Linked DNA regions of Arabidopsis thaliana. The protein of the gene in region 2 purifies or fractionates together with the protein of the main gene of each other region. This does not show direct contact. Each region holds a gene or a part of one and is shown on either strand. Other genes may lie near its edges. The genes, in order: AAC3, AT5G11770 and AT4G32470.

Evidence for each region.
Region 1: the proteins of AT5G11770 (region 2) and AAC3 fractionate together in Arabidopsis thaliana (co-fractionation; one large-scale study listed by BioGRID). This does not show direct contact.
Region 3: the proteins of AT5G11770 (region 2) and AT4G32470 fractionate together in Arabidopsis thaliana (co-fractionation; one large-scale study listed by BioGRID). This does not show direct contact.

Annotation. Positions count from the first base shown.
Region 1 is NC_003075.7:14,041,600-14,045,355, forward strand, and holds the start of AAC3 (ADP/ATP carrier 3), read right to left. Parts: upstream 1,749-3,756; 5' UTR 1,602-1,748; intron 1,586-1,601; exon of another isoform or gene 1,444-1,585; intron 1,211-1,443; 5' UTR 1,183-1,210; coding exon 712-1,182; intron 634-711; coding exon 262-633; intron 184-261; coding exon 1-183. Other genes in the region: A7 (Bifunctional inhibitor/lipid-transfer protein/seed storage 2S albumin superfamily protein), read left to right, coding at 2,392-2,721, 2,796-2,965, 3,087-3,129.
Region 2 is NC_003076.8:3,791,347-3,795,102, reverse strand, and holds the start of AT5G11770 (NADH-ubiquinone oxidoreductase 20 kDa subunit), read left to right. Parts: upstream 1-2,076; 5' UTR 2,077-2,173; coding exon 2,174-2,595; intron 2,596-3,720; coding exon 3,721-3,756. Other genes in the region: AT5G11780 (SNF2 domain protein), read right to left, coding at 1-16, 213-271, 413-1,175. UniProt on the Arabidopsis thaliana protein: Core subunit of the mitochondrial membrane respiratory chain NADH dehydrogenase (Complex I) that is believed to belong to the minimal assembly required for catalysis. Complex I functions in the transfer of electrons from NADH to the respiratory chain.
Region 3 is NC_003075.7:15,669,576-15,673,331, forward strand, and holds the start of AT4G32470 (Cytochrome bd ubiquinol oxidase, 14kDa subunit), read right to left. Parts: upstream 1,675-3,756; 5' UTR 1,521-1,674; coding exon 1,427-1,520; intron 1,316-1,426; coding exon 1,158-1,315; intron 544-1,157; coding exon 496-543; intron 446-495; coding exon of another isoform or gene 445-445; intron 135-444; coding exon 66-134; 3' UTR 1-65. UniProt on the Arabidopsis thaliana protein: Component of the ubiquinol-cytochrome c oxidoreductase, a multisubunit transmembrane complex that is part of the mitochondrial electron transport chain which drives oxidative phosphorylation.

The DNA.
Region 1 (3,756 bases), on a different chromosome or scaffold from region 2:
GAAGAGTGACTTGGCCCCTTCGTTCTTGACGATCTGAGAGAAGGCCTGAAGAGAGCTCTTGTACTTCACTGCTTCACCTGACGTCATCATCATTCTTCTGCGAACCGTGTCAATTGGGTAAGACGCCAATCCAGCTCCAATGGTGATTCCCCATCCCAGTAAGAAACTAGCAAGGAAGCTATCCTGTACAGATTATAGCAATGAGTAAACAGTAACAGAGGACTCAATATGTTGAAGTGAGGAGTTTTCTTTGTTTTTTACCTGGAGACCATCAACTAGAACCACAGGCTTCAAGGAATCATACAATCCAAAGTAAAGCCCCCGGTACACGACAATTCCAACGCATGAGATGTTGAAACCACGGTAAAGCCCGACAATGCCATCAGAGGCTATAGTCTTCTTGTACACGTCGACCATGCCATTAAACTGCCGCTGACCACCTTTCTTGGCCGCCTTCGCATCATTGGCTAAACGGGTACGAGCGTAATCCAAAGAGTACACAAAAAGCAGAGATGATGCACCAGCTGCACCACCAGACGCCAGGTTCCCTGCAAACCACTTCCAGTAGCCATCTTTTTCTTTCTTGAAGTTAAACAGCCTCTTGAAGTAATCTTTGAACGCAAAGTTTAAAGCCTGCAAAACAAAACTATTTGCTTAGCATACCCATCTCGACGTCTATACAAATACCACGTCAAAGAAGAGAAAACAAACCTGAGTGGGGAAGTATCTGATAACATTGGCAGTGTTTCCTCTCCAAAGAGCAAGCATTCCTTCGTCTTTGACTGTTCGAGCAAAACAATCACTGATTCCTTTATATGGCTCAGAGAGACGCCCAGCTTTGATCATTTCATCTTGATTCTGAATCAAGAGCTTCACACGCTCTATAGGCGCGGCTGCCGTCTTCGAAACAGCAGCTGAGACTCCTCCCATAAGGAAATCGATCAAGAAACCAGTACCAGTTTTCTCACTAGGAGCGTGAGCTAATACAGGAAATGAACCATGAGGTATAAGAGACGAGCCAACGCCATGGCTAGTTGGCTGCAATAGACTCTGCAAACCTCCATTGACATAAGCACCAGAGACACAGTAACCACGAGCTTGCACACTCGGAGAAAGTCTATTGATCAAGTAAGATTGTCCATGTAGCTTCTGAAAGACTGATGGATGCTTTGATCCATCCATTTTTTGTACAAATCAGTAAAAGCTGACTCTGAAAAACAAAACAAAACAAAACAAAACAAAAATACAAATTAAACACCACAAAATCTTGCTTTCTCGAAAATTTCTATATTTGCATGCTTAAAAAAGAATGATCATAACCAAAACTGGAACAAAAACAGAGAAGACATCATCAACACATTTCATACGATCCTAGTTAGCTTCGTTAAAGACACCATTTCAATCTGTCAACTATAATGCGACCTAATTAGCACAAATTAAAACCTAGTTGCAGCAGCTCAATTAAATCCTCTGTTTCTAAAAGATCAAGCAACGAGTGGCGTCGAGAAAACAGAATTCACGAGAAGCAGAACAAAAAAACAGAGAGAGCTAGGAGAGAAGCATTAATGATAAAGCTAGAACTTCTGGAGTCGAGAGCTTACCGTGGATTTTTCGCCGAAGCGTTAACGAGAGAGAGAGAGAGAGCTGTGGAAAATTGCGAGAAGAGTAGGTTTCTACATGATTCTCGACTTCTGGTCCTAAACTAAAAGACGAAACTGAGCAGAAGAGAAGGTACAATTACGAAAATGCTACTGGACTCCTTTGACCCGTTTCTTTCTGGGCCCAATTTTAAGGGACCCGAGTCTTGACTTCTTCTAAATGGACCCAAAATTTATTTTCCTAGGAAGATAAAATTCATACCTAATGAAAGTGAGAGACCTCTTTATCATTATGTGATATATGTCTCATCTACCTGAAAATTAAATATAGAAAAATAGAACAATAATCAAGACTTTTTTGGTTTGCCGGAAAAATATAATAGAGGCTTGTTAACTAGGTCTTAAAAAATTGGATGTTACTTAAGAAGCAAGAAAGAAAGTTGAATCTTTTTTTTCTTCTTCAGCCGGACAGAACTTTACAGATGCAAGGAAGGTGATGTGGTTCGAATTTAGTGATCCAAAACTAGTTAGAGAAATGTTCTACAAACAATGAAACAAACCGATACGTATTGAGAGTACCAGAATATAGGCAATGATATCGGCTCATGTATTAGATAACAAGACACATCATACATGTCATGCGATATAAAATAAACTCGAATTACATGCAATAACCTTAATATGTGTAGGTAGATTATTTCAAAAGATTCAAGAAAACTAAAAGAGAACTCAGCTGGAATTCATCCGAGTAAGAAGGAAACATGAGAACTACATGTGTTCATTAAACTAAGCCATGCATAATAAACTCCACCTTAGAAACGAATTGATTACTATATATATAATATATAGATATAGATTTCTCTTCGTACACGAATCATATATATCACCTTCGCTAGCTAGTGTACTGAGTTCAATGAAGATACATGCCATATTGGTAGTAGCGTTCTTGGTCCTGATGAAGACCGCCGTTTCCCAGGACAATAATCCGCTGGAACATTGCAGAGACGTGTTCGTGAGTTTCATGCCCTGCATGGGCTTCGTCGAGGGAATATTTCAACAACCTTCTCCAGATTGCTGCAGAGGCGTGACCCACTTGAACAACGTCGTCAAGTTTACGTCTCCAGTTACTAGACTTAATTCTCGATTCTTCTATTTCGGTTTCTTCTTTCACCATCTATAATTATATTAACTACGCAGGGATCGAGGAATAGGCAGGATAGTGGAGAAACAGAGAGAGTGTGTCTGTGCATTGAGATAATGGGAAATGCAAATCATCTTCCTTTTCTTCCCGCCGCTATTAATAACCTTCCTCTCCGTTGTTCTCTTACTCTCAGCTTTCCCATCTCCGTTGATATGGACTGTTCTCAGTTATTTTCATTCTTCTCTCCATAGTTTTTTAAAAATCTTTTCCTAGAAGAAAATGTTATATATTACATTTTTCCTTGTGCATAAAGGAACTAATGAACTGGTATAATTTTGTCATTACAGGTTCAGAAACACCAAGAATCCCGACGTTGAGAAATTAAATTAACTACCAGGATATATATCTATGAATATTGGGAAGGGAAGCCTTGTAACAGTTCTATATAGTTACAAATGATATATAATCGAGTTTATTGTAGATGTAATAGTGACTAGTGTTACAAAAGTACGAAGAATTTTCTGTAAGCGATTATATATATGTATATTCATCAGATATGGCTTCTCTTCTATTTCTTAGTTTTTACAATAACCATTATTACGGGAAGCAAAAAATGCCAAAATTGTCCATTAAGAATCAAAACTTAAGGACAAAACTTCTGGCTCTCGTGACATTTCTACACTTATAATTACATAGCCAAACGGATAACATAACGAGGCTTTTAGCTTTTTACAAAGAGGAACGTGGTTTAAAATTTTGTTTTTTAACAGATGAGTAAATGGCAACAACCTAATTAAATACATCCAGTGACTTCAGCAGAGTAGATCCAACACTTTCAAAGCCACGATTATTTCAATCGATCAGCTATAATACAATGTTACATAATTTCCATATACCAAGTTACCAACACGGAAACACCACCTATATAACAGCTGCAGCGAGTAGCACAGGAAAACCCTTTATTGATTGATGTGAAAGTAAATTGAAATTGTTTTTGGGTGCATAGTGCGAGTTGTT
Region 2 (3,756 bases):
CTTCATCTTCTGGAACCTGAAAGATTAAACAGCCATGAAAAACAACTCAATTCCATGTTACATACAATGTGATTCGGTTAAGAAACCACAGACTTTATTGGACTTCCGACTGAATACACATATAGAAAGCACAGGCCACTAGTTTCAAACTTTCAAGTCACCCAGAGAGAAAAGACTAAATAGATTATACATAGTTTAGTCAAAGAACCAACCACTCCCATTAATGAAGTTAGATGCAGATATGGCTCCAGCAGCATCTTGAGAATGACATCTGTCACAAGAACAAGAACACATGATTGAAAACAAAACCAATTGAGACATCTGGAAGCTTATGAAAAAGGAGTCACTAGTCACATAATGCTTCTCTATTTCCCACAGAATGCAAAGTAGCTAAAGAAAAAGTAACACTCACCAAAAAAGAAGCAACTGTGGAACCCAGATATCATCTGAAGCACAGATTCCTGCAGATCTTTATCTAGCTCGGATCTACCTAAGTCCAAATCAAACCTCGAGCACAAACTGAGCAAGAAAACCTGAGAAGCTACGATTCCAGCTAAGTAACCAACGCCACAGGACTCAGAATCGATCTCTTTACGCAAAATTTCACTAGCAAATGGCATGAACACCTCCAAACAATCCTCAACTCTACAATTATCTTCCACTTCATCCACAACCCAAACTCGACTCAAATCAGCAAAACTAAACCCAGAGACCATCAACACATCATCATCTTCATTTCCAGGTTCATCGACACAGTACATGCTAATATAGCTCACAATCCCTTCTAACAAGCTCAAAGCATCTCTCCTCCTAGAAATAACTAAACGACTCAACTGGTAAACAACGGGAGATAACAGCGATACCTTCTTAACACCGGAAAACGAATCGGAAAACGAAACTATCAGCTGGAAGAAACACGAAGTTAACCTAACGGAATCATCCCGGAAAGCTAACTTGGAAGAGTAGAATCTGATGGCGGAGTAGAACCAGACGAGCTCGAGAGGTGGTGGTTCGGGAAGATCGTTAAGAATACGAGTGAAAATGGAGTCGAAATCGGAGAAATTGGTTCGTCCGCCTCGGTACTGTAACAAGAGCTGCTTGATCGAGTCATTGAGAAGCGGTTTCAGAAATTCGAGGTGACTCTGAGGTCTGGGTTTACAAATCGGAGGTTGCATTTTGGGAATTTTCCGGTGACAGAGAAGGGATTTTGAATTTTGGGAAGTTGGAAGGAAACAGAGAAACCCTATTGAAATTCAAAGAAAAGGGAACGAATAAAGAGAGGGAATCCCAATGTTAAACATAAAAAAAAAATGTGTACATTACATTTTCAAATTGAGTTCACTCCAAAAACGTACAAGACTACTAGTATATTTGTTTTATTTTCATTATGGCAAATACGATAAATGATTTATAAGTGTGGATTAACGAAAATTGCTAGTTACTAAATGATTTATGAAGTAAGGATAAATGCAAATTTCGAAAATTGGCTAATCAGCTAATTTGCCTAAAAGAAATAAAGAGAAAATGCTATGACTTGATCCATTTTTAGCCTTTCTACTTCTTTTCTTTTTGGTCATATGAAACTTTATCAATACAACTTATGTAGAATCATCTTAAAATACAACTTCTAATCAAGAGAAACTTAAACCGACAGACAAAATAAAGTTTTCGTAATTACGAAAAAGTGATTTCTCCAGAATCTAAACCCTATGAACAAAAGACTTAAAACGTCGTAAATACGAACATGAATTTTTAAAACAAATAGAAAGATTTTTCCTAATTATACTGTTATACATCATGTGATTTCTCCAATTCATATCAAAATACAATTGGCTCTACACATTCCATATAAATTTTCTATCTATTTTTTTTTCTTCCTTTTCTTGATATCACGAGTCATACAACCACAATCAAAAACTTAATACTTTTAAAGATTTGATAAATTTTCTGTCTAAATAGTTTTTGTAATGAGAAAGTTACAAGAGTAAATTATTATTGCCAAGTCATTGTTTTATGAAATAAATGAAATACTGTACAAAAGGTGAAAAAAAATGATACGATTACGAGTCATATAAATACTTCGCCACCTGCGTTTAGTAAATGGTTAGAGACTCGTTTGGTTATCACAACTCCACGACGAGAGGAAAAAAAAAACTCAGAGAGACAAATCTAAATGGCGATGATTACGCGCAACACCGCCACGCGCCTCCCTCTCCTCCTCCAATCTCAACGCGCCGTCGCCGCTGCCTCGGTCTCTCACCTCCACACATCCCTTCCCGCTCTCTCTCCCTCCACATCACCGACTTCCTACACCAGACCTGGTCCTCCTTCGACCTCCCCTCCTCCTCCTGGTCTCTCTAAAGCGGCCGAATTTGTGATCTCCAAGGTCGATGATCTCATGAACTGGGCTCGTACCGGATCGATCTGGCCTATGACCTTTGGTCTCGCTTGCTGCGCCGTCGAAATGATGCATACCGGTGCTGCTCGCTACGATCTCGATCGATTCGGTATCATCTTCAGGCCTAGTCCTCGCCAGTCTGATTGTATGATTGTCGCCGGTACTCTTACCAATAAGATGGCTCCGGCTCTTCGCAAGTACGCTTATCTTTCTCTATCTCCCTTATTCATGGAATTAACGGCTGATTTATATCTTTGGATCTCGGATATAGTTTTGTCGTGGGAAGATTTCTTCTAATTTCACTTTGTGCGTTTTCTGCTTTAGAGGCCTCTGAATTAGGTTTTCGGAGGATATAATTTGGGGGTTTCTATTGGAATTTATTCTTTTCCGGCGATTTTAGGGTTCATGTATTCTGATTGTATTGCTAGGTCTGTGACAAATTGAGAATTGCTGTATGGATATAAGAATGACTTGGGAAGCTATACAGTTCGTATTCATTGTCTAGCGCAGATTTAACTAGTGTTTCGTCAAGTTTTTTGTTCGAATTTCATGAAATTGGGAGCGTTTTAATTAAGGGATGAACAAATATGGTGGAGTTATATCTCTTTTTATGTGAGCTCTGTGCCCGTCTTTTGAGGGGAGTTAGGAATTTCAGATTTTCTAGCTTGGTGTTCATTAGGGAAACATGTGTTAGTGTCTTACTAGTAAGAGGTTGGAGGTTCATTGTTATGATGTTTTCATTATCTTGTTTTGTAGTTCCGTCTGTTGACTGATTAGAATCTTGCGTGATGATTTTGCTTAGTTAGAATCTGAGACTTGATGCACATATTTTCTGCTTGGTGTGTGTTTTATAGGAAATTGATATCCGGCACACTTAAGAGATTCCTCTTTTTTTTGTTTGATGTATGAAGTCTTCATTCAAGTGTAGAACTTATGTTCTTTAGATGAGAATCCTGTTGTTAAGAAACGTATGCCAATGGCTGCTGTGCTTATATTAATGATAACTTTAGGCCCAGACACTTAGAAAATATCCCAAGTCAATCTTAATAGCTAGAGGTTGTGTAAACATCAACCAATAAGACGAGCACATTTTAGATGCATTCGGGAGATGATTAACTGCTTTCTAAGTTGGTTTAGATTAGTTCTTATACTGAATTTAACTATTAGTCAGAAACTAGTATATAGAGATATGTGCAGAAATCAGTCTTGATCTGGTAAGATTGAGAGAAGTTGTATATGCGGATCAACTCAAATGATTTATGGTTCTGTTCTTCTTTATCCTGTGTGAAATTCCAACTTCTAATGTTTGAATACAATCACAGGGTTTATGACCAGATGCCTGAGCCAAGGTGGGTGAT
Region 3 (3,756 bases), on a different chromosome or scaffold from region 2:
AATATCAATGTTGCAGATTTATGCAGAGAAGCAGCGTTGACCACAAGAAAAGGGGAAAGGAATGCTTATGGGAGTGTGCGCTGGTATAGTGGTAGAGCTCCCAAGGCCTCTCGTTCCTTGCTTTCCCTCTCAACCTGCAAATCACAACATAAAGACAGGGATGATGACAACGATGATGGGCTATCCTTACAGAAAAGTTACACTCAGAACTTTTCAAACATTGCAAACATTTTCTTTATGATGCAATACTTCATGAAATAGGGAAATTGAAGATCTGAAAAAAACATATTGCTTCAAATAACGAAGGAAAAGACATGCATCTCATCAAAGTTTTCATCATTGTCAATGCAGGGAAGCAGATAGGCCCAAAAGAAAGAGGAAACTTTACTTCAAGAAGGAATAGTACGCTTTTATGACACTGAATTGCAGTTTGATTGTTCCTACCCTAGACGCAGATAATGATTTCTATGTTAGTTCATCAAAAAGGAGACTTACAAGAGCAAGCATGTCCTGAAGATAGCCACGGAATGGGGTCTGCACCGCCTGTATATGAAATAACCACATCAAATAAGAAAGTTACAATATCCACAACACTACCTAACAGTTGCAATTTCTGATAGCTTAATCAATTTTGGAAAACTAAAAGAGCCTTATACTTTTAAAGTTGTGAACTTTTGATAGCTTAATTAAGCCAGCAATAATAACAGTTACATTCTTATCTAATAACAACATCAAATAAGAAAGTAACAAAAATCGAAAAGTCTAAACCATAGAGTAATACAATAGTATACATGCAAACACCACTTTACTTTATTGAAAGGGAAAAAAAAAGATGTAACAAGGATTCAACCTTTCATCAATCCAAAATTTCCAATAATCTCAAGCAACAGCAGAACAAACACAGTAACGCAAGAGACAAGCATAGACTATGCATAAACTAGTTTATATACATCTAAGCTCCACAATCACAAAATCCCCAAAGTAAAGTAATATCTTCTGATGAACTAGTTTCGATTTCAATTTGATATCTTAATTTCTTCATTTTTCTAGCATTTAATCAATATTCGAGCTCAAATGCCTGGGTTACCTATCCATATTCTAGATTGATTCTAACAACATCAATTTCATCCAAAGAAATAGAGAATGAAGAATTATACCTGAAGATCCTTGGGGAGGTACTCGTGCTTCATGGAGAGGTCCATGGCACGCTTGAGACGCTGGTTACGAGCATCAACGACCTCCCTGGGCAATCTGTTCATAGCCTCTTTGATGTCCATACTGTAATACTGATCGTACAGATCATCGTACCTCAGACCTAATTAATCATTCAAACCAAACAAAACAAAGCAGATTCAGATTCACTCATGAACATTGACAACAAACTCGGATTTCAGAAATTAGGGTTATGGATCGAGAGAGATCTGACCGTATCTGCGAAGGCGAGTAGATATGGCTTTCATATGCATACGAGCGAGGAAGTTCTTCTTTGGATCGATGAATGCTTTCAGAAGCGACGCCATTTTTCTCTGTCTCTCTCAATTTCAGATTTTCTCTCTTTGTGCCAATGAAAGAGACCAAGCTGCTGTGTCTACAACAACTCCTGACCTGAGAGAGGAAATAATCACATAAGCTCTGCTTCACGTATTTATTTGGGCCTTAAGTGGCCCATCTAAGCTTCACGTATTTTTGACATATATAGGTCACGTACTCACGTAGTAATATTTGGGCCTTAAGTCGCTCAGCTGTAGCGTCATTTAAGGCCCAGTGATAACTTGTATTTAGATTATAAACTAACTTGTCTTAATAATTCACAAGAAGCACCAGTGGTCTAGTGGTAGAATAGTACCCTGCCACGGTACAGACCCGGGTTCGATTCCCGGCTGGTGCAAATTTTTAGTGACCCTTTTGTTTCGTGTTTCACAAATACATGCATTTAACTCTTATTCGATCCTACTTAAAAAAAAAAAATGGGGGAAATTTAAGTTGTAAAATCCACTAAACTCATGTGAATGTTATGTATAGGCAAAGCTAGTTGTATGAATGGTAACTAGATTAATCACAAAATTGATATACCAGTTGTGAAAAAAGAGGGTTTAATTTAATAGCTGGAATGAGAAATGATAATCTTGTTATATAGATGAGGTAAGTTAAACAATTATAATTGTATCTTCATTCTTTACTCTAGACGAATTGGATTCCGGCTAACACCACTACTTGAGAGTTGAAAGGCATGTTTTTGTCTGCTTATGATTAAATTAACTTAAAAAGTGATTAAGTATCGTCTCAAGTTGCAAGTGTAATTTAAGGTTAAAATGTTGTGACTTTAACAAAAATACTCTCAAATCTTGTGTTCCCACTTTCTTAGCAAAGCATTTTAAACAGTTTCTTGTCAATATCTAAACTAACTTTAATTAAGGTTAGGTTAAAGAGATAATCATGCATGTAGTAGGTACTTGATTTAGTTTGATATATTTTTAGTTTGGTGGGATTTTTGATCACGACCCATATCCTAATTGCTATTTTTTAGCCACGAAGTCGTCGTCATCATCCTTATCGTAAAATATGAAGTAGGCCTAAAGTTCAGTCCCATTTAGCTTCATGAGTTCATAATTTTTGTTTTCCAAATAATTGTGTTCCGATAATAACGCACAACTATGAATTGTAAAAGTTTGTTTTGTTTGTTTCAAAAGACAACCATATATAACTCGTCTGACTGAGTGGTTAATGCATGTGGGCATGTATAGTGACTATATGAGCTTGTCTCAATATTTGATGTTTTGAACAGTATAAACCGGTTTTAGCTTAGCACATAATACTCTCTCTGCTAAGCTCACGTTAATTTAATTAGATATATATTTATCAAATCACATAAAATTATATTGTATGGCAGAATTATTCAAGCAAATGCGTATATAAGTTATAAAATTTGGAGTGATGAACTGATGATTAACTTTACTGGACTGAAATGTTTTAAAAATTGTGTAGACTTGGTCTTTCTTTTACACAAAATGTTATAATTCGCTGATAAACAGCTTTCATAGCACATGGTTTTGGCCTCAATGGCAGTTAATTATTCAGTAACTAATTAATATCACGTTTGCCTTCTTTTTAATTGGCCCTTTTTGGCCGTCTCAATTTTTTTTTTAAAATGGAAATTATAGTTTAGTTTAAATTTTGTACTGTCACAAATTGTTGTCATATTGATAGTAGTTATCTTTATTTAAGATTTGATTTTTACACTTTTACACAACATTCCAATATTTCATAAGTGTTTGATAGTGAGGTCCATATATATTACACTGAAAAGTTGTATTTAATTTATATGATGAATGCAAATTGCCTTAATTTATTAGATAAACAACACTTTGTAGATCATTAAGAAATGGAACTTTAGTAGCACTTTAATTGTTTTTGCTTGGACATTAGATTGATTGTGAACTTTGATTTGATTATTGTTGCTTTATAAAAACACAATAAAGTGTCTACAGATAGATATTTAGGATACAATGTTTTAGATTCTTATTTTTAGGATGGGAATATCCCATCAGTCTAAATGCTGGGAGACAAACGAATTTATGAAAAAAAAGTATTCCATATTGATTCCTTCTTATCCCACTCTTCTTCCTGAATAAAGCTCTTAAATTCAAGAACTAAATGTTTAAAAACTACATAAATAATGTGGAATTCTCTGCTATTCCTAGGCGAAATGTGGTGTTTGTTTATAATTTTCCTTTGCTATCCCCAAAGCTTCTAAAG